Tamandua tetradactyla: one gene and its partners. The protein of the gene in region 4 interacts with the protein of the main gene of each other region in a pairwise test. Links are inferred from orthologs where the notes say so. Each region holds a gene or a part of one and is shown on either strand. Other genes may lie near its edges.

What was found.
Region 1: the proteins of NUP62 (region 4) and CRCT1 interact in binary tests that used the Homo sapiens proteins (3 or more experiments, as listed by UniProt). The two-hybrid records come from large-scale screens. The link is inferred for Tamandua tetradactyla from reciprocal best matches to the Homo sapiens genes NUP62 and CRCT1.
Region 2: the proteins of NUP62 (region 4) and CCDC121 interact in binary tests that used the Homo sapiens proteins (3 or more experiments, as listed by UniProt). The two-hybrid records come from large-scale screens. The link is inferred for Tamandua tetradactyla from reciprocal best matches to the Homo sapiens genes NUP62 and CCDC121.
Region 3: the proteins of NUP62 (region 4) and ISCU interact in binary tests that used the Homo sapiens proteins (3 or more experiments, as listed by UniProt). The two-hybrid records come from large-scale screens. The link is inferred for Tamandua tetradactyla from reciprocal best matches to the Homo sapiens genes NUP62 and ISCU.

The regions. Positions count from the first base shown.
Region 1 is NC_135330.1:2,671,517-2,678,211, reverse strand, and holds CRCT1 (cysteine-rich C-terminal protein 1), read left to right. Parts: upstream 1-4,722; 5' UTR 4,723-4,785; intron 4,786-5,561; 5' UTR 5,562-5,575; coding exon 5,576-5,857; 3' UTR 5,858-6,184; downstream 6,185-6,695. Other genes in the region: late cornified envelope protein 1E-like, read left to right, coding at 441-554, 1,719-2,138.
Region 2 is NC_135329.1:11,550,326-11,558,315, forward strand, and holds the start of CCDC121 (coiled-coil domain-containing protein 121), read right to left. Parts: upstream 3,024-7,990; 5' UTR 2,839-3,023; coding exon 2,507-2,838; exon of another isoform or gene 2,100-2,506; coding exon 1,172-2,099; 3' UTR 1-1,171. Other genes in the region: GPN1 (GPN-loop GTPase 1), read left to right, coding at 3,118-3,228, 3,903-3,996, 5,394-5,433, 6,754-6,820, 7,579-7,616.
Region 3 is NC_135331.1:22,830,544-22,837,634, forward strand, and holds the start of ISCU (iron-sulfur cluster assembly enzyme ISCU), read right to left. Parts: upstream 3,009-7,091; 5' UTR 2,886-3,008; coding exon 2,772-2,885; intron 442-2,771; coding exon 328-441; intron 1-327. Other genes in the region: SART3 (spliceosome associated factor 3, U4/U6 recycling protein), read left to right, coding at 4,282-4,596.
Region 4 is NC_135342.1:11,235,534-11,242,624, reverse strand, and holds the start of NUP62 (nuclear pore glycoprotein p62), read right to left. Parts: upstream 3,021-7,091; 5' UTR 2,919-3,020; exon of another isoform or gene 2,732-2,918; intron 2,108-2,731; exon of another isoform or gene 2,036-2,107; intron 1-2,035. Other genes in the region: ATF5 (cyclic AMP-dependent transcription factor ATF-5), read left to right, coding at 4,305-4,482, 5,676-6,340. UniProt on the Homo sapiens protein: Essential component of the nuclear pore complex. The N-terminal is probably involved in nucleocytoplasmic transport.

The DNA of each region.
Region 1 (6,695 bases), on a different chromosome or scaffold from region 4:
TGTAAACATTTTAAACTAACAATGCCAGGCACTAAGAACTGTATACATTTTATCTCATTTAGCAGTCCAGGAATTGCTATTACCAGGTTTTTATAGTGGTGAGTAAGCAGCTTTCCTGAGACAGGCTGAGAGCAGCGAGTGAAGCTGGGAGCTGATCCCAGGCAGTCTCTGTGCACCTGGAATTATAATGAAGCTATAATGCTTCTCATCACAGCCCATTTAGCACAGCCTGGAGCCGAGACCTTGTACATTTCCCCCAGCTGTGTTTTTCTCACTGCGTTTTTCCCTGTGAATATGCCATATGTTGGCTGCTTTTTCAGCTAAATAGACTATGGTGACTCTCCTTGGGGCCTAACTTGCCTTCAGGATATTCTTTGTAGGGCAAATAAGCTTTAGATTCCGTGGTGGACTTGAACATCCCATGTGCGACTTCCCCACTCATGTCTGAAGAAGAGTCTCCTCCTGAAGGCAGTGATGCACAGGGGGTCTTCCCAGGTGGACGCGCCCTCCTTGGGGATGGCCGGAACGGATGCCTCACTTCTGGCAACTTCCAGGTGAGCCTGGTTCCTCTGCTCCTCCCTCGATGTCCATCCCGTTCCCACACCTCACCCTGGACCACGGGCGTCTCCTCTGGGGCCACAGGTGGGGAGAGAAGACATGACAAGGTTTCTCCTGTCCTCCCAGAGGGCCTGTCAGTGTAGGGTCAGTTCTGCTGGTGAGTTCTCCCGCTGGGTCCGGCTGAGGTTAAGGAGAGACACCCAACTGCCCACACCCCCTGCGTCAGACCTACTTAAACACATTGCTGAGATATCAAGCATTCTCGGTCCAGGTTATGACACCATCTAAGAATGAAAAGTCAAATTAGATGGTTGGCTTGGGCCTCGGTTTTTTTTTTTTTTTTTTTTTTTTTTTATCTCTATCCTTATTCTAAAAAGGACCATCTAATTTCCATGTTGGGATTCCTTCTCATCGTTCACCCTCATTTCCTATGCCAAAGACAGAAGAGACCTTCTCTCCATGTGAGGGGTGTAGAACCTCCTGGCCTAGCTCAGGGAAACAGGGAGCACAGCAGAGCTGCCTGTGAAATTGATAGCTGCTGGGTGCAATCCACAAAGCTCCCTCACTGCCTAGAGCCTGCAATGCTCAGGACATCTTCCTGAGGATTAATCCGTGAGATGCTTTCTGAGGGAGGAATTGGATCCCTGCAATGTGAGGGAAAAGTAGTCACCCAAGTCCCTTGTGAAAGATGATGTTTGCTGCTCGCACGTGATTTGGGCCTCCTGATGCCAGCTCAGGGCTCACTCTGTATAAAAGGCTGAGACGACCAGCAGCACCTCAGTCCACTTGCCTCCCGCGACACCTGCTCCAGCACCTGAGCAGGTAAAGCACATTTCAGGCACCACGACGGACTCCCGGTGATGGTGTCTGGCTCAGGGAGAAGCCCTGGGTGGAGAATGAGGCTAGCCTTGAAGAAAGGCAAAGAACAAAAGGGATGACAGAAGCTAGGTGAAGGGGAAAATGGTTGGTGTCTTTTTGAAGTTGCAGGGAATTCATTTAAAAAATATGGAGTTCCTCGGTTGAAGCCATTTGTAAAGAAAATTCTTGTAACTGATTTGGGGACATTTCAGTTTTGAGGTTGAAATCATATTTCAATTTTGCATATGGAAGTAAGTCACCTTTAGCTAGTTGAACTTTAAAACTTCTGATTTGTCTTTCAGTTTTGTTCAACTTCCACTGAGATGTCCTGCCAGCAGAGTCAGCAGCAGTGCCAGCCCCCTCCCAAGTGCCAAACTCCTAAATGCCCCCCAAAATGCCCTCCTAAGTGCCCCCCCAAAGCTCCAGTCTCCTCCTGCTGCAGTGTCAGCTCTGGGGGCTGCTGTGGTCCCAGCTCGGGGGGCTGCTGTGGCCCCAGCTCGGGGGGCTGCTGTGGCTCCAGCTCTGGCGGTGGGGGCTGCTGTGCCTCCAGCTCTGGCGGTGGGGGCTGCTGTGCCTCCAGCTCTGGCGGTGGGGGCTGCTGCCTGAGCCACCACCGGCCCCGCCGATCTCTTCGACGCCGGCACCAGAGCTCCAGCTGCTGTGGCAGTGGTCAGCAGTCAGGGGGCTCTGGCTGCTGCCCCGGGTCTGGGGGCTGCTGCTGACCTGGACCGTGAGAACATAATGGACCAGACTCGGACGAACCGAAGTGCCAAGGGTCTGCCCCAGCCTGAGGCGTCTCTTCTCCCCTTTCCCCACAGAAGGACTTCTGAAAGGCCTTGAGTTTCCCTCTTCCTCCTGCATGTGTTCATTCCGCTATTATGTCCAGAGGTTTAACCCCTGATATTCACTGGCCCGATATCCCCTCTCAGACACAGTTCTGTTGAGCAGTTGGTGTTGGAGTTGAGTTATGAAGCTATTTTCTCTGTAACAATAAAGCTTTTATTCCTGATGCCACTGCCTCTTGATTATATTTTGTTTGCCTCTCCCACTCCCCATTCCTTGCCTCAGGCCATCTTTCTTCTACTCTAAAGGGCAAGTGAACACTTAAATAATGTGCTTGGGAAGCAGAGCAGGGCATTTAAATACTTAGCCTCCTGGGAAATGATATTTCCTTTGTGCTCTGAATGTGGAGCTTTAAGCTTGAAGGAAGAAGCACATCTGAGACCACTAGGCTTGGCACAGGCAGCCCACGAAGAGACTCGGGGAGGATGGCGGTACCAGAAAGGTCACAGGCTGAGAAGAAATCATCAGCAACAGTGTCCTTCAGGCCATGGGCCATCGCTTAAAAGAACTCTTTATCTCTAATCGCAGGGAATAAGATAATCTGAAGTGCTCCAGCTGGGCTGCAGTGAATGGGCACCATTTACTTTTCTGATTAGTATCATCTCAGGGGCTGCCTTCAGCTGGCCGAAGAGGAGACTCGGGGAGGTTCTGGGGAGTGAGTTTCGGAGGCAAGTATGAAATGCCTCTACGCATTTTCGCTGCATCTGGAGATCCTGGGTTTGGATTTGAGTAGAGAGCCAAGAAGGCAACCCCTCTGCCGAGACAAAGGCTGCCTCCTTCTAGTTGGCACGTGTGTGAGTGTGTGGGTGTGGGTGTGTTTGTGTGTGAGTGTGGTGTGTTTGTGTGTGAGTGTGTGGCTGTGTGTGTGTGAGTGTGGTGTGTTTGTGTGTGAGTGTATGTGTGTGGCTGTGCGTTTGTGTGTGGGTGTGGGTGGTGTGTGAGTGTGTGTGTGTGTGTGAGTAGAGGGTGAATGTGGAAGTGGGGGGCTTTGGTTATTGTGTTGGGTTTTACAGGTTAACATTTCTTTAGCAATGGGCTGATTCCTTCAGGAGATACTCAGAACGTTTTTGAGAAGAAAGAGAGCTCCAAACCAGTCTTCTAAATACAAGGTGAACACTTAGTCCCTTCTTTGATAAGAGTCCACACTGATAAGTAAAGTGAGTTACTATATGAGGCCATAATAAATCCAAATAATGGACATGTAATTGCCCAAGTATCTCCTCATATCAATGTTTATCAAACCTTCATATTTCACTCCTTTTTTCTCTAACCTTGCATAGTTCCATAGAGGTGATCCTGCCTCCATTTTTGTTACTTCATTACTTCCTCTTCTTTTTTAATATTGACTGCACCTATTGCAATATCTCACCTCTACTCACCAATAACTGTCCCTAGGTAAACATAACCTACTCATAAAGCTCTAAAGCCATGTTAAATGAAATTGTTATCTTTTGTGATTTAGCTTTTCTTGTCCTTTCACCCAAAATCTCTCTCAGACTATTGAATCTTGAATTCTTCATCCTGAACTTCTCTCATATCTCACATTCATGGTTGAGTCTCTTTTAAAAAGATAATTACTAAAAGCACCACTTGTCATGGATGCTGGGCCTTTGAAAATGACTTCTTTTTCTTTACTTTTCTCCTCCTACTCCCTCTTCTTCCTTCTTTTTCTCCTCTTCCTTCTCCTGTCCCTGTCTCTTTCCCTCTCTTTTTTCTTATAGGGAAGTGGCCCCAGGGAGACCTTATCTCCAAAGGGAGATAAGGAGAGGGATGGATGGTGACCAGCCGAGTTCCATGGGCTAGCTTGGGCCTCTGCAATTGGGCCAACATCAGCACACAGTTTTATCCCAGGGATATGGCAAACTACGTTCACAACCTTTTTTTTTTTTGCTAGGATTTTTCTTCCTCCCGTCTCCAGGGGCAGGAAGAAATCCCCACTGGGGTTTCCATAGCACATCACCTCCACCATCTTTCTCAACTCTGTCTGCAAGCATCCCAGCCGGTGGCCTACCCTGAGGAGCCCAGGACTCAGAACCAGAGAGATGGGAACCAAAGGTGGCAAGCCAGTCAACTGCCAACAACCAAGTAGATGCTTGCACACAGGGATGGGTGGGCAGTCAAGGGCACTGTGTGTTTGTGCTAGCATGCGGGCTTGCCGGTAACCTGGAAAGGGGCAGGGAGAATGGGCCTGCAGACCTCTCCTGGTCCCCATGCCTTCGCGTAGTAGGCACACAGCCCTTCAGCCACCAGTGGTGCCCTGTTTGGAAAGCAAACATACCACAAGCAATCCTGGCACCTCTGTGCTCTGACTTGGAGGCTCACGTGTACAACTTAAGGGAGCTACCTGCGTGATGAATCTCTGACCTGTGTCAGCTGAGCGTGTCTATTGAGAAATAGGTCCCTCCCAAATTGCCTCATGATGATGTATAAAAGGTACCCCGGCTGGACACTGCTCAGTCCACTGCCTAGGAGGCGACCTTTTCCAGCTGAGGAGCTGAGTGAGCCTTCCCACTGTGCCAGGGTCTGGTGAGTTTCCAGGTCGGGTTTGGGAGAGGAGTTGGGAAGGGTCGAAAGCGGAGGGGAGGAGAAGGCAGCAGGGTACAGATGTGGACAGAGAGTCCTGGGAGGTGCCTTCAGCCTCAAGCAAGCCAACCTCTCAGGGAACCCCGGCGGACAGGGGCCCCGGACTGGGCTGGGCGTGTGTGTGACTTTGCAAGTCTGGAGTGGAGTGTAGCTAGGGGCCGGGTCTCGCTCTCAGCACAGGAATATTCCCTACTCGGCACCACTCTGCTTGTCCTTGTGGTTGTGGGGTGGCAGGGATGGGAGAGAAAGGATAACCACAACCGTTTCTGGTGTGTGTGAATCTTTAGGCCCCGGCTGCAGGGATGCACAGGTGATTCAGTGTTTTCTAACTGATGGCATTTATACTTTACTAATGATTGTGAGGATATAGCTTGACGGTCTGTGAAACGTGGCACAGGGAAAGGGCCAAAAGAAGATTCTGGAGTGGATCCTACAGATAAATTGCCACAATATCCTCTTTAATTTCCACTGTGGAGAAAGATGATCTCTGTTCAAGTTAGAGGAGACGGGAAGCCATTGATTCATTGCCTAGTTCCTCCTCTACCCAGATTTAAATCACTGGAAACATGTTTGGGATGCGTTTGCGTCCCTTTCTATCTTTCTCGGCTTCCCTCCCTGGGTCCTCTTTCTTTCTCAGGCCAGGCTTGCTTGCGCATTGAGCCGGACTCTGCAAAGGCCCGCGAGGTCTGCCCCTGTCTGAAACGCGGCCTTTCTTCCAGGTCGGCCGTCCGCGATGTCCTCCCAGCAGAGCGCAGCTGCCGCCAAAGGCTTCTCCAAGGGGGCTTCCCAGGGCCCCGCCGCGTGCCCCGCCCCGGTGCCCGCCGCCCCCTCCTCCAGCTGCTGCGGCTGCTGCCCGAGCTCCAGCTGCTGCGGGGACTCAGGCTGCTGCGGGGACGCCCCCACCGGCTGCTGCTGCTTCCCGCGGAGGCGCCGCCGGCAGCGCGGGCGCGGCTGCTGCTGCTGCGGGGGCAGCCAGCGGTCCCAGAGCTCCGGGTGCTGCGCCAGCGGCTGCTGACAGCCGGCCGGGCAGAGCTGGAGCCGCCCTGCACCTGCCGCTCCCACCAGCCGCTCCCACCTGCTGCTCCCACCTGCTGCTCCCACCAGTAACCACGGCCCCGCGGGGCCGAGCATCGGACTGTGCCCGCCAAGATTAACGGCACTTTGCGGCTCAAACACGCGCCTTGTTCTCAGCCTTGATGCCATGGAGACCTGACAGTGGTGGGTAGTTCACAGACCGCTACTACCTTTCCGGGTTTGCACACAGCAGGTGCTCCATAAATGCTTACTGATTTCATTGTCCTTTGAAGACGTGTCATAATAAAGCTTCTACCTCCAAACAACACCTCCATTAGAATTTATTCCTTCGTGTGTGTCTCGATTTATCTTGCTCTGTTGTCCTATACAGTACCTCTCATTGGCTCTGATGGAAAGGCTTGGAATATCTGTGAAAGGCAGAAAACTGAAATTCGTGACTGAACAAGAACGTGGCTCTCTGGTAGTCAATTATGATAGCAGCCATCACGTATGGAACCAGCGTCCTACGGCTGTTACGTGACAGGCATTATCGCATTTAATTCCTATAATGACTCAGTGAGTGGGCGCTGCTCTTTCCATTTTATAGATGAGAAACTGAGGATAAAGAACTTGCTCAAAGCCACCCAGTTGATGCCTGATGGAGAGACTGGATGCCTGACTCCAGAGCTAATTATGCTCCCAACTGCACTGCTTGGTCCCCCCTAAAGTTTCCAGAGTCCCTGACGAAGGCATCCGTCCTCCTGCCCCCACTCCACACAGCTGCCTGGGAAAGGTCTGTGTTTCCTACTCTTGTGGACGTTGGAATCAGGAGAACTGAG
Region 2 (7,990 bases), on a different chromosome or scaffold from region 4:
TGTCATAGAGGAGCAGTGTTAAAATATGGGATTTTATTACTGAACTAGGACTCAACATTGAAATAAATCACTGGTCTAACCATTAGTGTCATAGATGCAAAAAAAAAATACAACCACTCTAAAAACCTAAAAGTAGTATCACCAATTCTAAACATAGGACATAAATATATGGCATACATTGATTATAAAGTGATGTGTAGTACAAAAATAGAATAAATGACTTAAAACTAAAATATTTATTATCCTTAAGTACTTCTACCTGTCATCTTGGAATTTAGAATGCTGCTAGGGAAATAGGATGACAACGGATGACACAAGCCTCCTTAAAAAATTGTCCAAATATTTTTAAACTTTTGATATGTTTTCCTGAAACAAGCAGAGGCATTCATTAACCCCACTGATGCTCCAAGTGTTTCTGATGCTCCAAGTGTTTCTGATGCTCCAAGTGTTTCTTCGCAGAAAACATTTTTAAAAGAGTAACTAACCTATTTTATGGCCCCTTCAACTTCTCAGTTTATTCAAAGCTAAAATTGTAAGGGCTTAGCATCAAACCAAAGGTTATTCTGCCAAGCACTTATTGGACTTGCTGTTGTCAGAATACTTTGCACTTAATGAGAAAACTATAGAAGATCTACCTCGTCACTGGCAAAAATTTTAATAAGAATTGATAATGCACTTTTGACGTTGCTGAGAATGCCAAAAGGAATGAGGATACATCGATATAAATTATTTACAAAGCAGAAAGCTATCCTTAAAGGTGCTTGCTCTGGCCTTAAAGGTGCTAGTTCTAGAAAGAACTCTTAAGTTAGCAAAATGAAATGAATCACACATCTGTTTTCGTCTAACCTCTTCAAGTTGGCTTTCTTGAGTTAGTTTGAAGTATGGGTGTTTGGTAAGTGGTTAGTGTTAAGTTAGGGTCAGGTATTTTAGTTAACGTGGAGGTTTGTGGAACACCCTGTTTACTAGCAAGAGTTAATTAAATGAAGAGGGAGTTAAGGGATGCTGGTCACACAAACATCATGGAGGACCGCTGAAAATAAGCACCCTATCTTTTCATCCCAGCACACCATGAAAGGTATTTAACCATAGCAATGGATTCCCAAACCTTCCCAACCTGGTTAGTTTAACACCTGAGAGAACTTGCTTTAGCGCTTACTTAAGCAGTGTTAGTTTAGGAAATATTTTGGTTAATCTTTGGAGCATCCTGTCCTTGTAGGCACCAATTATGCCTTCTTTGCATTCGTTGTCGCCCCCGAATTAAACATTCCAGATACCACTGTTCTTGCTGCAGCTGCTGCTTCCTGTATTTTAACTGGCTTTGAGAAGCCTCCAACTCCTGGCATTGCTGAAGGAGCTGCAGTATTTTCTTCTGTAACTGTTGGCTCTCTCTGTTAATGCCACGGTAAAATTCAAGAGTATACTGCTTTGTGGTCCACTCCAAGGCCTGGTTTTTCCTCTTAACCTCCCTTTTATTTTTCTTTCCCAACTGCCTTACGTCTGGCTCGCTCAATTGTTTCTCCAGTAATGCTTTTTCTTGGAGCAACTGGGTCTTTGTTTCCTCTATCTTTGCAGTTGCCTTGGTTTCGGCTTTCTTTTTTGCATTCTGTAATGTCTGCACTTCTGCCTCCTGTTTTTCCTTTGTTATAGAAATGCCCCTCATTGCTTCCAACTGCTGCTTCAAATTGAATTGGATCTTTTCTTTCTGCAAGAGCTCTGCTTTAAGTACTGAAATCTGTTTTGCGTATTTGGAGGCTGATTCTTGCCTATGTCTTTCAATCTCCCCACTTTTTTGTAAAAAGTTGTTCCACAGCTTCTTAGGTTGCCTTTTATATTCCTCAGTTTTGTTGGTCAGGTATTCCAGAAAGAATTTGTTTTCAGCCTGGACAAGTGTCTTTTCAGTGTATAGATGCCTGTTGTCTGCCAGGAGCTGTTCCTGCTGGATTTGAGCTTGTTTTATTTGCTCCTTCAACTCCTTTACTTCCACCACTGTCTTCTCTTTAAGTATCATCTCAGCCTTTATTAGATTCTCTTCTTTGGAAAAACCATTTTTTAAACCAAGATAAGGTCTTGAAGAAGGCCTTCTGGGACTTTCAGCAAACCTGAAGGAGGAACAAGTGAGACAATCCCCCATCAATTCTTAATGGACATTTAGGAAATAATTTTTTTTAAACGCACATTTGTACTTTAATTCATACAAGAAAGTAATTTTGAGCACCGCTTTGTGTTCTGGACACTGGAAAGCAAGGGGAATACGACTACGTGTAAAGATGAGGTACAGTATTTTTCGGTTTACAATACTGGATCATTACAACCCTGGGAGGTTATTAATTTTAAAGATGAGAAAACAGGTTCAGATTATTTGCCCAGCAAGTGGCAAAGCCTGGGTGTGGAACCCGGAACTCACTGAACACTTTGAGAGCCACCGAAACTGGCTTGGGTAAGGTCTGAGTAGGAATAATTTTTCTCGGCTCTTGCGTCACCTTTCCCGAGCCCCCTCTGAACTCACTCGTGCCAGGAATACACGCGTTCATCCCCAGGGTGATGGTAATTGTGTAGTTTACTGAAGGCGATAGCCGAGAGGCGGGCGCTAGTGTCAGGGGCCTGCGACAAGCCGGGACGGCATCCAAATGCAGAAAGTTTTCGCAGTTTCTCTGTTTTGTGCTCGGTGTGTCTCGGCGATGCCCAGCAACTCCTATAGTCGCTTCCCGCCCCAATCTGGCTCCGTGCCACCGTGAGTTGTTTAACCTCTGCGGTTACCGAAGAAGCCCTGGCAGCCAGTCCTCTCGCAGCTCTGCTCTCGGCTTCTTGGGGGCCGAAAGTGAAACCCACTCTCCTCATTTTCCTACTGCGGGAGCCCTGCCCTCGGGCTCCCGTCTCCTCTCGCCCTCCTGGGAACCAGGCTTTCCACCTTTTCCTGGCCCCTGCGGCACGCCTTTTGGTCTCCTAGCGGCCCCACTTCCCCACTGTCACCAGTTGGCGCCCCAGCCGGTCCCGCCCCTGCATGCCCTTCTCTTCCGGGCCCAGTCGGCTTTACGTCCATTCGCAGCCCAGAGCGTCGCGCAAGTCTCTCTAGCCTCTCATCGTCTCTATCGTCGGGCAGGCGGAGCTAGTAGGAAAATGGCGGCCCCCGCAGCTGCAGCTGAGGCTCAGGCGTCAGGTGGCCCGCATCCTCCAGTCTGTCTGTTAGTGTTGGGAATGGCAGGATCTGGGAAAACCACCTTTGTACAGGTAAGTATACGGCGCGGGTGTAGTAACATGTATGCGAGAGGTTGTCCGTGGCGGGCCAAAGTCTCAGGGAGAAAGGGAGTTTTCTGGGGAGTTGGAGGTAGCGACGCGTGGCTTTGGGGGACTTCTCAGCCTAAGTGACTTGCTCCACGAAGTCTTATCGGAATTTAGCCTCGGTCAGTTAAGGCTCTCTTTTGTATACCCTCAATGCTCAATACATACTTGGTACAACTTACCAAGTTATTCCCGATAAAATTGTGAAGTTCTCGTAGGTAGGGATTTTACTGGCAGCTCTAGCGATTAACAGGTTCTCGGAGATTTGTTCAGGAATTATTTATTGCCCACTACCTTGTTCCAGGAACTGGGGATACGGTGAAAATGAGGTTGACGAAGTTCCTGCTTTCATGGAACTAATGTTTTTATATTTTGGTGGGGGAGTCAGAAAAACCCACTCCCGTACACAGAGAACAAGTGCTAGAGAGCACGGGAGGCTCTTGTATGGATAGAAAAAGACAGCATTTGGACTGCGAGCTGAATGTTGGAGGTGAGCATCTGGGCGGATGTTTCATGTAGACGGAAATGAAAGTGCAAAAATGCCTTTAGGCATGGTCGATAAATGACTGGAATTTTTCTCATCCCCTTATATCTTCTTCCACCTCCCCTCCCCATGTCTGCAGAGGCTCACAGGACATCTGCATAGCCAAGGCTCTCCACCTTATGTGATCAACCTGGACCCAGCGGTGCATGAAGTCCCTTTTCCTGCCAATATTGGTGAGTGAACCATGGAAGAACTTGTGTGAAATGCCTTAAAGGGACTGGAAAGCCTGAGCCTTGCTTTCTTCAGTGCCTTCATTTTTTATCTTCTCTTAACTATCTACTTTCATTTCCCTTGGAGTCACTGGAGTTCCTGTCCAGGCTTCTTCTTTATTCATGTTTTTTTGTTGTTGTTTATTTTTTGCCTTTCCTGCATTTCTTTACCTCCTTCCCACTCACCTTTATCACTTCTCTTTCTGACTCTAGTGTGCCAGGCTATTTTAATTTGGGAAAATGAAGTGATGTAAAGTCAGTCTTTTCACTTCTAGACTATAAACCTTTCAGCAGATTCTGATGCATAAATATTTTCTATTTAGTGTCTCAAAGTTTAGTTAGAACGTAAGTGTTCTTATGCTTCAGTTCACTTGCTGATCTATAGGAATCTTGCTCCCACTCCCCTAAATGTGTGTGTGTGTGTGTATGTGTATATATATATATGTATAAAGCTCTGGGAAGAGTTTCTTAATTTTCCTGTGATTCTAAGAAGAGTCTGTGATTCCAAAAAAGGTTAAGAATGAATTTAGTCCTGTGTCCTGATTCTTGATAGGATCTAGACTTTGATTTCTAGGCCATTGCTGTGTGCAAATCCTATTCCTCCTTATCTCTTCTTAATCCTGAGTAAGCTTTGTGTACTCCACACATATTAATGAAAGGAATACTGGATTAAGAAGCAAGATAATTCTGGGAAGAGTGAAAAAAACTGCCCATCTCATTTTAAGGATGAAGTTCTAATAGTTGATAGGGGAAGTCTATAGACTGCTGGATGGGTTTAATTAGATATTACTGGACATATTAAATCTTATTAAAAAATCATGTCTTCGTTGTCTTTGTCACTAGTAGATAATTAGAAGGAAATCATCTGTTTTTTTTCCCCTTGATCTAGCACTCTTTTTCTGTGCCTATGGCCACTAATATGATATTTAAGTCATACAAAATTTTTTACCTTGTCTCATCTCTACCATGCAGTTTGAGAGCTCCTTTACTAACATTATTTATAGATTACGTGGCAGTTATCCTTTGTATGGAAGGAAACCAATGTGAGGGTGAAGAAATTGGAGAAAGCCAACAAAAAAAGCCTAGAAATCTAGTTTCAGTTTCTTACTGGTACGAAAGTTGCTGCCAGGGTACCTTTTGCGCTTCTGTTCTTTTTCCTCATGGTCCTGCTTCTTTTCTTATCTCAATTCAGTGTTCTTATTTAACAGTTTACATAAATGATATGAAAAGTAACTCAGATACTTAATTTTTCCTCAGAGGAAGCAGAGATGACTTTTTCTGACTGTCAGTTTAGGATATTATAGGAGGGTCTCAAACTATATTTTTCTTACGTGTTAAATTTCAGTTAATTTTCCCTCCAGATATTCGTGACACTGTGAAGTATAAAGAAGTCATGAAACAGTATCCTTTTCTATGTCTGCTTTGATGTTGACTTGTCCCAGATCCATTATTTTCTGTATATTTTATGACTTTGTAAAGAATATTTTTACCTTTCCTTCTGAAACACAGGCGCAAAATCATTAGATTGTTTTAAAGTGATTTTATTAGGAGGAGATAGTAGATGGGTGTGGGAGAAGTATTATAGATGATCAAGATAATAATTTTAGCTTGTGATTTCAGTTTTCTTACCATCTTCCCAGATTGCTCGCCATTGTAATGAGAGAGCAGTGAAAATGAGAGACTAGCTGACTGCCTGCCCTGGATCCTACCAGGTAGCATTGCACTAGAAGGTACACCCCATTTGATCACCACTTCTCCTGACTGGGAAATTCAGAAATCAGTAGGCTTGGTAGGATTCACTCTTAGTACATTGCTGTATGAAATGTTCTCTCTCCCTGTGGGTTATTCTAGGTAAGAAGACTAATTGTAACCAGCAAGTTGCTTGATTAGTCAGAATCAGAGTAAGAAATGTTATAAAGATGATTGTTTTGGTTTGCTAAAGCTGTTGGAATGTAATATACCAGAAATAGGTTGGCCTTTACACTTGGGATTTATTAACTTACAATTTACAATTCTTAGGCTGTGAAAATGTCCAGCTCAAGACATCAACAGGATAACACCGGGACACGGAAGGCCAGCTGCCAGTATCCAGTACACCTCTGTCACATAAGAAGGCACATGGTGCCCAGGTCCTTCGATGTAGAGTTTTGTTGCCTTCAACTTTTGGTTTCCTTCCTCAGCTTCTGTGTCTTTTTCTGTGTGCTTCTCTGAATTCCTTCTATTAGCTTTCCTGACTTTTCCCTCTTTTATTCTCTCAAAAAAGAACTCCAGTAAAAGGATTAAGACCCACCCTAGGGCAGACCTCATCTGGAATAATCTAATCAAAAAGTCCTGCCCACAGTAGGACTGCACCTACAGGAATGGATGAACAGAACATGGCCTTTTCTGAAATACATGACAGCTCCAAACTGCCACCGTAGTGGCTAATGCTAACAGGCTGTCACTGCCTGGTGCTTCTGTCCATTGCATTTTTGTCACTTTGGTATTTTCATTTTGCTTGGCCAACACTAAAGGTGATAAATGAACAAAGGACCATGATAGTGAATGATTCCCTGTGAGGTTAAGATTGTATGGTACATAACTAGTTATTGGATTGTATTGCGAATATCCATTAATGGCACACTAATGCCATAATATTGTTTTTGTGACTGATAACTTGAGTATGGACTTTATAATCTAAATTGATATGTAAACAATTTGAATCCTTAACCTAGTGTGTAGGTATGGACTTGGGCCCAATGGTGGCATTGTGACCTCACTCAATCTCTTTGCTACCAGGTTTGATCAGGTATGTGTCTGTTCATATGGACATGGCTTTGCAAAAACTTGTGACTCTTAAATGACTTCATTTGAGCATAGTGGGAAAGAAGAAACATAAACCTGAGTATAACTGTAGATAATATGTGGGCATTTTATTAGGCAAATAAGTTTATGGGAGTATTATGTGTTTTCGTCAGTATTATGTGACAGCCAGTAGAACAAAAATAACAAAAAATCTGGGTTCACTTTTTAATCTGTTCCTCATTTGTTGTATTATCCTAATTGTGGATGGAGGAAGAGGGGAGTGGGATGGCTTAACAGGCACAGAATGGAAGAATAATGGGGCTTTTCACTAGCATCAAGTATTTTTCATCCTTTAGAGTTACTCTGTCACCTACTTCCATAGGAATTTTTTCTTTTTTGGCATGGTCAGGCTCCAGGAATTGAACCCCGGTCTCTGGCACAGCAGGCGAGAATTCTGCCACTGTGCCACTGGTGCTCTGCCCAGGAATATTTTCTAATTATTAAATTGTTACCCTTATATTACTCCATGATGACATGTACCAAAATGCCAAAGACTATCACTTGACAGTGACAGATGAAGTCTTGAGCTTTTCAAGTCCTTGCACCATGTCCCAGGGTGTTGTTTCAGTGCTGCTGATGGGGATGTGTTTCTTCAGAGCAACTTTTACTGAGAAGTGAGATTCAAGTAGCTCATGGTATCCTGTGAGGTGTGGCACCCTGCATCTTGAAATCTGATCCTGTTATTACGTCTTTTTCTTTTAGGTGATGAAATTTATCGAGAAGGCCCAGAACTTGTCTAAGTGAGTGGTTTCAGTTTAATGATTATTGACTACTCTATTCAATATGTTCCTAAGCTTTTTGGAGGATTTTGGGAAGCCATCAAACTCTGAAGGGTTAAGACTCAGATTAATCAATTAAGAGTCAAAAAATGTGGGCAAAAAAATCACCAAGATGCTATAAAATGTAGAGTTAAATTTCCTGTTATCAATTTAAAAATGGTCAAAATAGAAAATATTTATTCTTATTACCCATAATTAACTTAATGTTTGCTTTTTAAAAAAGAAATATGGTTAGGACGGGCGATGGTGGTGCAGTGGCAGAGTTCTCTCCTGCCATGCCAGAGACCTGGGTTCAGCTCCCAGTTTAAAAAAAAAAAAAGGTTAATTGTTTTTGT
Region 3 (7,091 bases), on a different chromosome or scaffold from region 4:
GCCCTATTGGATTGGGGCTTGCTAACCAAATAGTTGTGGTTTTCCTTTGATGAGTAAAATTCAAAAAACTTTTTACATAGCTGCAGCTGAAATTAAGAGTACAAAGGTGAGTTTGGTTTACTATTTCAGAAAAGGTCAGACATACAAACAGAGGAACTAAGATTCAGTCTCTGCTCTAATCATTTATAACATCAACTTGTGCCATCTCGCAGGAATAAAAATGGAGACCAAATGAAACGCTGTGTGTGCAGATGATTTTTAAACTGCAAAGCACTGTAAAAACAAAGGGATTACGTTATTACCTTTAAGGATGAAAACCAGCCATACCTGTAATTTCATTACATCACCGCAAGCTGGAGCCCCCACTAAGCCAGTACCAACATTTTTAGATGTCTTGTCAAGGGACCCCACATTTCTAGGATTTTCATAATGATCAACAACCTGAAATGAGAGGGTTAAGAGAATCATTATCACTCTTTTTCTTTTTGATTATGACATACTTTATGTAACTAATCCCTTGTTCTTTCTTTTAATTGTGAAAAGTAACATATATACAAAAAAGCAATAAATTTCAAAGCACACTGCAACAATTAGTTATAGAATAGATTTTAGAGTTTGGTATGGGTTGAAGTTCCACAGTTTTAAGTTTTTCCTTTTAGCTGCTCTAAGGCATTGGAGACTAAAAGAAATATCAGTATAGTGATTCAGCAGTCTGGCTCACTTAGTAAGTCCTATCTTCTCTGTTATAATTCCACATTCTCCTTTGATCTTTCTCCCAATCTTTAGGGGTATTTGAGCTATGCATATTCTGACTTTTTCATGTTGGAAAGGGCTGTAAATAATGTGGGTTGGGGGATGGAATTAGTTGATGATCTGGAGAGGCTGGCCCCTCTGCTTTCAGGATCATCTGGCCTAGGAACCCATCTGGAGGTTGTAGGTTTCTGGAAAGTAATCATAGTACATGGTACCTTTGTAGAATCTTATATAATGCTTTAGGTGTTCTTTAGGGTGGGCAGGAATGGTTTGGTTGGGGATTGGCAAACTATAATAAATAGCAATATCTAGCTGTGGCTTGGGTAAGAGTAGACTCCAGAGTAGTCTCTTGACTCTATTTGAACTCTCTGAGCCACTGATACCTTATTTGTTACAATTCTTTCCCCCCTTTTGGTCAGGATGGCACTGTTGATCCCATGGTGCTAGGGCCAGGCTCATCCCTGGGGATCACTCTTGATACTGGTCTCCTCGACATGAATTTAAGTTCCAGGAGGTAGGGAATTGAATCTTACTAATCCGTGTTCCCTCAAAGACTGGCACAAGGCCTGCAACCTGGCAGTCAACCTGTAAAAATACCAGTCTACACTCATGTCAACAAGGCTTTATTCATGACCCAAAGTCTTTTCGTATTTCCACTCCTATCTTCAGATTCTGTTTGAGATACTGGAGAAAAATCACCTAAATCATGTCTTGGTTTCATTAAGATTTTGTTTGTTTTGGCATGGGTAGGCACTGGGAATCAAACCCAGGTCTCCAGCATGGCAGGTGAGAACTCTGCCTGTTGAGCCACGGTAACCCACTCTCCATTAAGGTTTTTAATCACAAATGATTACTTCAACTTGTACCCATCCAAGTCATCAATTTAGGTTCAAGCAGCATTTTTGTTATTTCAAAATAAAATCCACTCTTAAAGGATAATGATTACAATTAGAAAATTCTAAAGTAACTATGTTTCAGAAATTGAAGTCCTTTCCAGAAGTTTCCACGTGACTTGTAGACACTCTGAAATCAGGCTGGTTAAACAGTGCACCCTGGTGGCTGAAAAGCTTTTAGCTTTAAATTCACTGAGTGTACTGTCAAAAAACACTGGTGTGTGTGCGGTGTGATAATCCTGAGCTGTGGGCAAATATGCAGAAACCAGACTAAATGTCCATTCAAACTGGCAAACAGAAGGCTTAAATAACGGTTAAGTGTCTTGATCTTCTTGTTTTCTTCCCTCTTCTATCCTTCCACGGATTTTAACATTAAGCCCAAGGACCCACAAAATAATATCTAATTTGGATATTGCCATATGTTGAATGCCAGCAATCTTTGCTTTTTTATCCCAATCCCAAGTGAAAGTCTCATCTCTAAGATACCTTAAACTCCCAGAAGGCAGGGCTGCAAACTTCGCAGCCCCCGGCCCCAAACCCAAAACGTAACAAAAACAAAAACATGATTATTGGTGACACGTCTGACTCCAACAGGAGGCTGTGTGCTCCAAAAAGGCAGAAACCAGTACTTCCATAAGGCCTACCTGAGATAATTTTACTACAACAGCAGCATTAATAGTTTTTATATGTTGAGCCTAAGAGCCAGACACCACACCGAGCACGTCACAAGCATCATCTCTTGTAAGAGGGGACTGCTAAGACCTCTATCTTATGAGTGTGGAAACTGAGGTTCAGCGAGGGGCAGTGACTCGCCCAAGGTCACTTAGCTAGGGCAGTGGTCTGGCTAAAGTGGATCCCTAGCGGTGGGGTGTAGCCCACCCGGGCTGCTGGGAAGTTTAAAGGCGCACTAAACAGCAGTCAGCTGCGAGGCCCACAGGAAGTAGCCGCTATTGTAAGCGTTATTATTTTGGTTTGTATTGCGGTTAGTGTTACTGCGCAGCGAGGAAAAGTTAGTCGAGACAGAAGACGGGAGAGGGGACGACCCCCCCACCGTCCCCTCTCCGTTCCTCACACTTACACTCCCCGGCCGGTGCGGGCCCTGTGCACCCCTTTACTCGTTCCTACCTTCTTGTGATAAAGCCGGGCCGGGGCGGACAGCTCCCGGGCGGGCAGGCGCTTGCTCTGCAGTAGCAAGGCCGACGTAGCCCGTCGTAGACGGCCAGCTCCGGCCGCCGCCATGTTGCGGGGACGCCCCTAACGCAAGCCCACACCGAGTCTGAAGCTGCGAAGCGCGCCGCCTACTTGACTCGGGACTTCGGATCCAAGGACGCGTCGCTTTACGTCCCGGCATCTTCGCGCTTGCGCACTTCCAATCCGCCCAGTCTGTTCTTTGGCTCTACCTTGGCCACGCCCCCCCAAGGGGCGGGGCGGGGCGCGGGAAGGTCTGAAGTTACTATAAGATCTTGTTTTTCGTGTTGGGTTCTGGATGCAGGAACGGGTTTAAGGTTTGAACGCTGTGCCCAAGCTTGAGCTGGCTAAGCTCACCGCTGGAATGCACAGATCACCCGATCCACTTTTCCTAACCTATTTTGCAGCCAAACAAGTTGAGGTTCAGAGAGGTTTAGTAACTCGCTCAAAGAGTTAGGTATACAGTTGGGATTCCAGCAAAGACAGTCCTGGGTTAGAATTCTGGTTCTGCGTCTTCCTGTCTCTGTGACTCTAAGCGAATGATATCAGGTCTTTATGATTTGGTCATCTGTTCTGATTTAAGGGGAATTTTTTCATCCACTCAGCACATACGTGTTGACTACGTACGTTAAGTCTCCATACCAGGCTTTGGGAATGCAACGAAAAGCAAAACATGTTTGCTCAAGACAATAAACAAGGAAACACGTCAATACTTTACTACCTCAAAAATGGGAAGTTTAATTAGAGAAACGAACACCATGCCCTGATTAAAAAAAAGCATGTATACATATATATAATATATAGTCTCCATATAGAAAATAACCGCAAACAACAAAATGTATATGGTAATCCCAGGCAACTGAGTTTCTCAATTAATGCTTGGTATTAACTTTTATTTTAATTAATATTTTAGATGTGCAGAATATGATTTTTTAAAACTAGACTCAGGAGTATTCGCATTACGTAAAGGGGAAGAATCGTTTCGGGCAATGCATTTTTCTCACGAGTAGCGCAGTCTATCCTTCCCGGAGGACGTGGAGTTTTCTCCGCGTTTGGGGCTCGGTTGCTGGGGAGACTAAACAACGAGCCATATCAGACCTTACTTTTAGTAAGGTCTCCGTTCCAAGAATTACTTTGACCTTCTCAAGATGGCGCCACAACCTCATTGCTCCCCCCCCACTTCCTGTCCAAACATCCAACTTCTGTCCGAAGTTGTAACGAAAGTCATGTTATATTAATGAGACTTTTCTGTGATGGGAGCTTTTATAAGTACATAAAAATAGTATTAATTGAGCGTATCTCGAGATTTTTCTGTCACTCGAGGCTCACAGCTTTCCTTTCGATCGCGAGAGAGCAGGGTTTTGGTCAGGCGCACGCCGCGGGCAGCTTCTACTTCCGTCGGTCTTCGGCGGCGGAGCGAAGACCCGAGAATTATCCGAGGCACAAAATGGCGACGGCGGCTGCAACCTCGGCTTCAGAATCGGAGGCTGAGCTCAAGGCTGGGCCCGAGGCTGAGGGAGAGGAGGATGAGGCTAAGGCGACGAGGACGAGGAGGAAGGTGTTATCTCGGGCTGTGGCCGCTGCGACATACAAGACCATGGGGCCAGAGTGGGATCAGCAGGAGGAAGGCGTGAGTGAGAGCGATGGAGACGAGGAATACGCCATGGCTTCCTCAGCCGAGAGCTCCCCCGGGGAGTACGAGTGGGAGTACGACGAAGAGGAGGAGAAGAACCAGCTGGAAATCGAGCGGCTGGAGGAGCAGGTGTGCTCGGGGGTGGGCAGCGGGCTCTTTCCCTCAGGTACCCGGGTCCGGGCTCGCCCCTCGTCCGACTGCGCTTGCTCGGGTACCTCTCCCGTCCGCAGCAGTAATGCCCCCAAGGCCGCAGTAACTCTTTTTCAGTCACCGTAGCGCCATCGTTTGAGCATTACCTGCGTGTGGGGCGCTTTCTAAGCGTATTCCATTAAATCCTAACAACGACCCAGTGAAGGAAATAGTGTATTCTCGTTTTAACTGGAGGAAACTGAGGCTTGTGGAGGGAAGTCTCTTGCTCAAGATTTCATGTCCTACAGGTGGCCAGTCAGGCTTTGAACGCTGAACCAACACCAGAACTCTCATTCTTAACCACACAGTTAAATTGCGTTCAACAGCAACAATAAATCTCATTTGTAAGAGAGAATAATTTTCCTGTAGGAAGGACAGCATTAATGAAATATGATGTAGTAGGAAAAATATTCACGGTAATCATGACAACAGAAATGGGAAGGTAGAAGTTTTGGCTCTCAAGGCTAAAGGCGCCAGTTCCGGCTATCATTTGGGCGATTTTCTTAAATTCTCTGAGTCTTTGCTTCCTGAATTGTAAATAGGGAGTGGCAATTTCTGTATCTTAGCATTGCCATGACAGTTATGATAGCCGAGTGCCTGGCAGCCAATGTCAACCAGATTGCTAATTTCTGAAGAGTCTTGGGAGGTGTAGGTGGTATTATCTCCTGTATAAATCAAGTCTCAGCAGGAAATAGATGGTACACTCAAGTTAGGATAATTTGAGGAAAGGTTGATAAAGGGACGGTTGCATTTATAAAAGTGTGGACCGGGAAATCAGGAGCAAAGTTTAGTACCATTTAATAATAGGAGGACTTTGTTTCCACCTTTAGACTTGAAGGGGCAAGGGGAGTGACATGTAGAAGAGATGGGTAGAGAGGGAACCTGAGAGGATTTGAGACCTTTGGTCAAGAGATGCAGCCTCAGTTTCCCGGCAGGAGTTGGGGTAGGGGAAGAAATACCCTGGCCTCCTTCTCCCTTGTCTCTCTCTCTCCTCCCTGTGAAAGTCTGCTGGGTGCTTCCTGCTGGGCAAACTCACCTGATTATTAGAGGGCTAGGGAATCTGTTAATGTGGTCAGCACAGGGCAGGGCAGAGGAGAGGGTGGATGAATTTGGAGGAAGAAACAGAAGAGATAGAGCACATTTCATTTTACTGATGAGGAAACAGAGGCTCAGAACAAATGATAAAGTGAGTTACTATTCAGAAGCTTTCAAAGTAGCCTCTGGATCAAATGCAACACTAGATGTGAAATCTCTCTGTGATATGAAGATTATTAACCTAGATTACTCATTTAATCTTATGGAGTGTAAGGTTAATGATAATTTTCCCTCTGGCATTGATATTTTTATGTTATGAAACAGTGATATTCTTTGGTTATCTTCTTCCACTTATCATTGCATCTCATTGTCAAAGGAACCAACCAGAGGTTAGAAGGCAGTTAACAATTTTCCTTTTTATAAATAAATATGCTGCAGTTTATTCAGTCTTTTATTCATTCAGCAAATACAGTGTGATTCTGGGTGCTAGGCTGACTGTTTCCCTGCCTACATTGAAATAATTTCTTCAAACTTCTAGTTCTGGGCCTTTTGATGAGCCAGCTCACTTTGACCTTACTGTTACATGAGGATCACCTGTTTTAGTAGGAAGGGAAGGCTTGGAATGGATATGAAGCCCTTGATCGTGCACAGTTTTACTAATGGGGAGGAGGGGTCAGAGTGAAGGTATGCTGGCAGTGGATGCTGTGCAGTTGCCTGCCTGACTTATATCTTTAGTTCACCTAGGTTGGTATGGAGCTTAGAAAGTGTCCACACAGTATGCGACCTTGTAAGTGATAGTGAGCTAAGGGTCTTTGGCCTTATCCTCTTTATCTTGGGCTTTAAAAATTTATTTTTCCAATATTTGCATACCTCCTTCCCACATCATTGTAATCCCACAGCCTCTAGTTCCTCCTGTAACTGCCCTTATAGTAGAGCATAATGACAAGTAACTTCCAAATAGGGCGGTGCAGATCTTGGCCTTGCCACATCTGCGTATTCCAGTTTTCGTTCTTGAGTTTATTTTATGCAGGCTTGTGATTTGCTGTGATATCTGTTCATGTAACAAAAACAAAGACTTTATATTAGTTGTGTTTTTGGGCTGAAACTAAAAGTAGCACCTCCTCGTGCCTTAAGCACATTTGTCAGTGTACCATGGTGCAGCACAAAGAGTATAGCTTTGCAAACTATACTCAAATCAGGTGATCCACTTACTAGTCAGAAGACCTTGGACAAGTTATTTCAAGTCTCTGAGCCTATTTTATCCCAGTTGGTAAAAAGGAGATTGTAGTAATGCCTCTCACAGGGCTTTAATGGGGGTTAAGTGACACAATGCATGTAAAATTGCCCAGTTTGGCTCTGCTATGCATAGTAGCTGCTATACAAAGGTTGGTTCCATTCTC
Region 4 (7,091 bases):
GAGTCCTCAGCAGCCCCACCCATGCTTCCAACTCCAATCTCAGGAGTTGAAGGAGCTGGGGCACCTGCACCCTGAAAGGCTGTGGGAGACTGGGGGAGGCTGAGGCATTTGAGTCCTGGAGAGGCCAGAACCTGGGTCAGGCATGGATATGGGACAAGGCACAGGGTGCCAGCTGCAGATGACTGCCTGTGAACTAGAATCTATTGGCAGGCCTGGGCAGCCCAGAGCACCCAGCACCCACTTGGCAAAACCCAGTGATGCTGCCTAGGTGGGCCAGTCTGTGCCAGGGCTGAATTAGGTAGGCTCCAACAGCCAGAGTGAAAAGGGCATGGGGGCTAGGACCAAGAAGATGACTTTTCAGACAGTACATCACATACAATCAGCAATATGATTCCCAAACCGAGCTAGTTTCTTTTCAGTTAGTAAAGATACCCTCCCTGGCCACCTGCTCAAAACCCCACAATGTCAGTTTAACCATGAGACAAACTCATACTGAGGGACATTCCCTAAAATACCCAAAGGCCAGGACTGTTCAAGAGTACATGAGAACATTTTCTATCTTTGCAATTTTTCTGTAAATCTTAAAATTATTCTAAAGTAAAAAGTTTATCTAAAAAATAATCTATGACCCTACTCAGAAGACAATTCTGGGAGGTTACTGTAGGAAAGGGACAGAGGGAGGAAACAGATTCTGCTAGGGAAGGGGCCAGATGGCAGGAGAAGAGTGAAACTAGTGTCTAGGAGCCAGATCCTGCCAGCAGCAGCAGGTTTCCCAGTAAGGGTGGCAGCCTCATCAATCTGGTGGTCTGGGCGGCACCTCCTCACTGACCGCAGTGAGTCCAACTGTCTAGCATTAACCCCTACCACCTGCTGTCACTGAGTTATAGTGAGAAGTGGAAGTTTGTCCTTAAGCCTCCAGAAACTGGTGAAGGGCTAGTTTTGAAACTTTAACTCCTGCAACTGGAGCTTCAACAATCCTAACCACCACCCCTAACAGTGCCAACCAGCAGCCAGGCACAAGTCCAAATGTTTGACATGGACTAACTTACTTAATCCTCATGACAGCCCTAAGAGATGGGTACTATTACTGGGCACAGAGTAAACAGAGGCACAGGGAAATAAGTGTAACTGCCCAGGTCACACAGCTAGTGAGTGGAGCACAGCCAGCTGTGCACCCAGATCACCTGGTGTCAGAGCCTGTGCTGATAACCACTACCGTACCCTGTCTAGGTCATAATGTAGCTCCAAAGGGCCCAGCTATGGGGCAAGTGCTCAGTACTGGCCCAGTGGATGGACACCAAGAGGGTAAGGGGTCAGATCCAAGAAGGACTTCCCACATGTAACAATGAAGGAAGAGAGGGGATTTCTTAACTCCCAGACACTCTCAAAATCAAAGTTCCCACACATTTTTTGGGCCTCGATTCAGTGTCTTCACTGTCCCAGGTGGGATGAGGGTTGGGGGTGCAGGTGTGGTTCAGTGGTAGAATGTCTGTTTGCCTGCCATGCAGAAGACCTGGTTCGATTCCTAACCCATGTACCCACAAATAGAAGGGATGAGGGCTGAACTCCAAGTGAAACATTCTGATGTGGATGGATGCAAGGTGGGAAAGAGGGTTTCTGCAGCAGAGGAAAGATCTACATCCAACCAGGGCTGGTGGAGGGTCCAATGTATGGGGGTGGGGGAAGAATAGTTAGGAGGCTGCTTTCTTTCACTAAATGGAATCATAAATCTCCCCATTTTTTGGCAGGGTTGAGTTCCTCACACAGTGAGTGGCAGCTTAGGCAAAGGACAATTTGAAACAAAGTTTGGGTGAGAGGCAGAAGCAGAGAATAACACACGCGGTGGAGTCAGAGTATAGAGGACAAGGACTGAGGGACTGTGGATGTTGGCAGGTGGGCAGAGGTGAACAGAGGGTGGAAAAAGGATGAAGTGGGGGTAACAATGCCAAAATCCCTGCACGGGGGTGGGCTGAACACCCACCCTTTGGAATGGGGGAGGGTGGTGATAGCTGGAAATTACATAAGAGGAACCTACCAGCAAATCTTGGTCAAGTATCTGGGGCTCTGCCAGGAGGGGAAGACAACGTGATACTGAGTCCCAACGTTCCTATTAATAAGAAGACAGGGTTACCAGATGAGTACAAGCTGGGCTGTGCTTCATGGACACTGTCATTTTAATTCTCAAACAACCCCACCAAATAGAGGGTATAATTCTCATTTTATAGATAGCGACAAGAGGTCCACAGACCTTATTTGCTCAAGATCACCAGGCAGGTGATTCGAAAAGAGCACCGTCTGACCCCGGGGTCCCGCAGAAGTAACCCACAAGGATCCTCACGGAGGCACGGGCAGAGACTCCGGTGCGGCTGGCCGGAAGTTCTTTCGTGAAGCAGGGGAAGGCGAGAGACACGTGAAGGCCTGAGGGAAGCTGAGGGGGATGGGGTCGGGCCCCAGACCCTGGGGTCAAAGGAAGGAGGAGAAAGGGGTCTGTGCTCCCGGGTCAGAATCCCTAGAGTCAGAGGAGGGAAGGGGTCGGAATCCCGGGTCAGACGGAAGAGAGGACCACAGCACCGCAGGGTTAGTGAGAGGAGGGCGCCAGGCACCCGAGTCAGGGAGAAGACTGGGCCCCAGAGTGAGAGGAGAAAAGGGCCCAAACTCCGGGTCACAGAGACGAGGGGGCCGGGCCCGCCTCCCTGCCAGGGCCCGTCGGGGCCCGCAGGGGCGGAGCGCGGAAGGATCCGGCAGAGCCGTGCTGCGCCACCCCCGCTATATCTGTCCCGGGTCCCCGGGGCCGCCTCATTCCCTATCCTCGGATCACGGTCTCCCTTCACGCCAGCGCGACGCCACCACCCGCGCAGTCCCGGCCATGGCCCTGTAGCCGCGAATCCTCCCTGCCCCCCGGTCATCTCCGCGCTCACCGCGCCTGCGCCTTCCGCTCCCGCTTCTTTCTTCAGCCGAGGCTACCGCCGCCTCTCCTTGCCGCCGCCATGGAGTGAGTAACCGCTCGCCCCTCCCTCTCCAACCGCCCTTCCCGCCCTTTCACAGCGCGCGGCCTTCTCACCGGGGCCGGGGGGTGGGGAGCCGGGAGCGTGGACTCTAGGTCGCGCAGGCGCAGGAGGGAGAGGCCGCGGTCGGCGGCGCGCGGCCGAGCATGCGCACTCGGTCCGGGGTGGGGAAGGGCCCTTCCCGCGAGGGTGTTTGTGCCTGAGTCTGGCCCGTGGGCCGAGGCGCCTGCGCACTAGCCCTCAGAAAGGGTGGGTTTTATTTTTTTCGGAAACGATCCTGTCCGTGCGCGGCCGCTCATGCCCACCAGAGCCAGTATTCGCGTAGGGCGGAGGCTTGAGGGAGCGATCACGCGCTTTAGCTCTCGAGGAGGCAGGCGCGTGCGGAGGGGTATGGGGTAGGGAGCCGTTCTCTGCTCCCTCCTTCAACGTGTCCCTTCCACCTTGCGCGGGCGCACTGCCCAGCTTCCCTCTCCAAGCACCTGCTGGGCCTGGCATAGATTGACGGTGTGGGGGCGGGGTTTAGAGGCCACCCTCTAGGAGAGGGGGTGGGGCTAGGGCCACAGCAGTAGCGAGGGGCGGGGCTTGTGAAGCCTATTGTGAGATGAGGCGGGATCCACAGAGAATTGTCAGGGAGGGGTGGAACTAAAGTAGATGGAGAGGAGCAGGACTTTGGGGGCATCGTGGGAGTCACCGCACAGTTTAAAGTAATGACGGTGATAATTCAGTGGAGAACACTGATGAAGAGGCAAAGCATGGGAGAATTCCCCTGGGAACTGATTTTAGAAGGAATGGATTTCGAGAGGGGGTGGGATCTAAAGGAAATAATTTAGGGACAGGGTGTGGCTGGAAGGAAATTCCCCTGGGATTGGATTTTTTTTTTTTTTTATTAAAGAGGAGTATCATGGGGTGAATGGGAAAGGTGTAAGGAAATTCCGCTGGGAGGACACTACATTCTCTATTAGAAGAAGGGGTGGAGCTTGGGAGAAAAGTAGGCTGGGCCCAAGGACAATTCCCTTGGGAGTAGGTGGGGCTCTAAGATTGTTGGGAAAAAAGAGCAGGTTTGGAATTCTGAGAGGAGGGTCTCCGTGGCAATGGGGGTGTAGCTTAGGGGCGGTCCTGTGCCTTTGCCCAGTGGGTGGAGCTGGCCTCTGACCCCACCCCTTTTGCTTCCCACCTGCAGATCCTCTACTTTGGCCTTGCTGCCTGTCTCCGCCCATCCGAGCATCCTCTTGAGCCTCCTCCCAGCAGTTGGTGCTGCAACCTCCCTTGCCATTGGTGCCCGGCGCCTGTGCTGCAGCCATGTCACTCCTGGCGACCCTGGGTCTGGAGCTGGACAGGGCCCTGCTCCCAGCTAGCGGGCTGGGCTGGCTCGTAGACTATGGGAAACTCCCCCTGGCCCCTGCCCCCCTGGGCCCCTATGAGGTCCTTGGGGGAGCCCTGGAGGGCGGGATTCCAGGGGGGGGAGAGCCCCTGACAGGTAAGGATAGATGAAGAGTGGAGGTAGGGTGAGATGGGGAGGTGGGGGACAAAGGGGAAGGAAGAACTCATTCATTCATTCACTCATTCATTCAGTAAATATTTATTGAGTACCTACAATGTGCCAGGCACTGTTTTAGGTGCTGAGTATACAGCTGGGAAGAAAGACTGGCGTGATCCCTGCCTTTCTGGAGCTCACATTCTAGTGGAGACAGACAAGAGACAAGTTAAATGGGGTGGGGTTTGGGGCACCCATGGTGAGACGGCTAAGTGGGCCCTTAGCAGCTAAGCTAGAACATGACAAAGGGGACCTAGTTTAGCCAGGAAGGCTTCTCCAAGTAGATAATATTTAGGCTGAGGCCTAAAGGATGGGAAGGAATGAACCATGAAAAGCCCAAGGGAAGAGCATTTCAGGTGGAAGAAAGAGAGTATGCAGAGTCCTTGAGGCAGCAGTTATTTTATGCATTACTGTATCCCAAACACTTGGCACATAGTGGGTTTTCAATAATTAATGAACTAAAGATGAAATAAGGTGCGTGTGTGATGCATTTCACTTTGTATTTGAAGAACAAGCTAGAGAGAGAGTGAATCAGAAAAACCACAGATGTAATCAATAAAGAAGATGTTGGAATGGTTGAAGAAATGCTTGGTCCACTAGTTGGTTGGATGGTTGACTGGTTGGGTAGTTGGGTGGATGGCTGAATGGCTCTTTGATGGATAAGTTGATTGTTTCCTTAGGTGGTTGATGAATTGGCTGACTTGTTCCTTGGTTGGTTGGTTGACTGGTTGGTTGGTTGGTTGGTTGGAAGGGTTGACTGGTTCACTGCTTGGTTGATTAGTTGGTTGCTTGGTTGGTTGGAAGGGTTGACTGGTTCACTGCTTGGTTGATTAGTTGGTTGCTTGGTTGGTTGGAAGGGTTGACTGGTTCACTGCTTGGTTGATTAGTTGGTTGCTTGGTTGGTTGGAAGGGGTGACTGGTTCACTGCTTGGTTGATTAGTTGGTTGCTTGGTTCATTGGTTCCTTGGCAGGTTTGTTGGTTTACTGACTGGTTTGAGGATTCATTGATTGGTTTGTTGAGTGGTTAGCCGTTTTACTGATGAATGGGGCCTGAATGAGGCAGAGATGAGTGAGCACCAATTGAATGGAGGCCCAGGAACTCAGCGAATTTTTATGTCCCCCCTCTAATCCCCTAGGTGACGGCTTCTCAGACTGGATGACTGAACGGGTTGACTTTACAGCCCTCCTCCCTCTGGAGCCCCCCCTCCCCCCAGGCACCCTTGCCCCACCTTCCCCGCCCCCACCTGACCTGGAAGCCATGGCCACTCTCCTCAAGAAGGAGCTAGAACAGATGGAGGACTTCTTCCTTGATGCCCCACTCCTCCCTCCCCCATCCCCACCCCCACCCCCACCCCCACCCCCGCTGCCACCAGCCCCTTCCCTCCCTCTCCCCCTCCCCCCCTTTGACCTTCCCCAGCCCCCTGCCCTGGATACCCTCGACTTGCTGGCCATCTACTGCCGCAGTGAGGCCGGGCAGGGTGAGGTGGGCTTGACATCCCTGCCCCCACCCCAGCAGCCCCCACCCCCTCCGCCCTCTCGCCCTGCTCCCTACCCCAACCCTGCCACCGCCCGAGGGGACCGCAAGCAAAAGAAGAGAGACCAGAACAAGTCAGCAGCTCTGAGGTACCGCCAGCGGAAGCGGGCAGAGGGCGAGGCCCTAGAGGGCGAGTGCCAGGGGCTGGAGGCCCGGAACCGGGAGCTGAGGGAGAGGGCGGAGTCGGTGGAGCGGGAGATCCAGTATGTGAAAGATCTGCTCATCGAGGTATACAAGGCTCGGAGCCAGAGGGCCCGCCGCAGCTAGAGCTGGGGGGGGGGGCCTGGGGGGTGCCAGGGGGGCCTCAGGGTAGGGGGGCCTCCCTCCGCCTTCCGCCTGCCTTCCCTGCCCCTACCACCTCTCTGCTGGGAGCCTTGTCTCAGAATCCTGCACTGTTTGGCCTTAATTATCTTCACTCCTTGAGTAAGAACCGAGAAACCTAGGCCCACAGGGAACCGAGCAGCAGAGCTGAGCTTAGAAAGCTGGTCTCTTGAATTGCAGAGCTGGGATTAATTGCACGTGGTTCTTGGCGAGGGTGATAGGGTGTTGGAACAGGACAGGGGCAGGCCCAGGCAGCACTGCAGAGTTACTATGAGGACTTTTAAGAGTGGGACCCATTTGATGTGAGCAAAAATGCAAGCCGCGCGGCCTTGGGGAGTCACATGGTGGTGGTGGGGTGGGTGGAAAAAGGTGGCCAAGTTGACAGAGCAGGTGGATATACAGGCAAATGGGGAGGAAGGAGCAGGGTGGAGGGTGGCCATAGATGGTGACTGGGGTGTTCATTTTAGCTCTGGGAAGAAATCAGTGTTTTGTGAAGGTGCTGGGAGGAGGTGGGACCTACATCTAGGGGAGGGAGGGCAGGGGCTGATGCTGTGGGAAATAAATTGAAGAGTTTCCTCTGGCTTGTGTGTCTTTATTTGTGAAAGGTGAGGTTGGGGAGAGGACAGGTTTAGGAGAAAGACAATAAGAATAAAAATAATATTTATTGTCAGGCATACAGCCTTTGATAAGGTGAGGT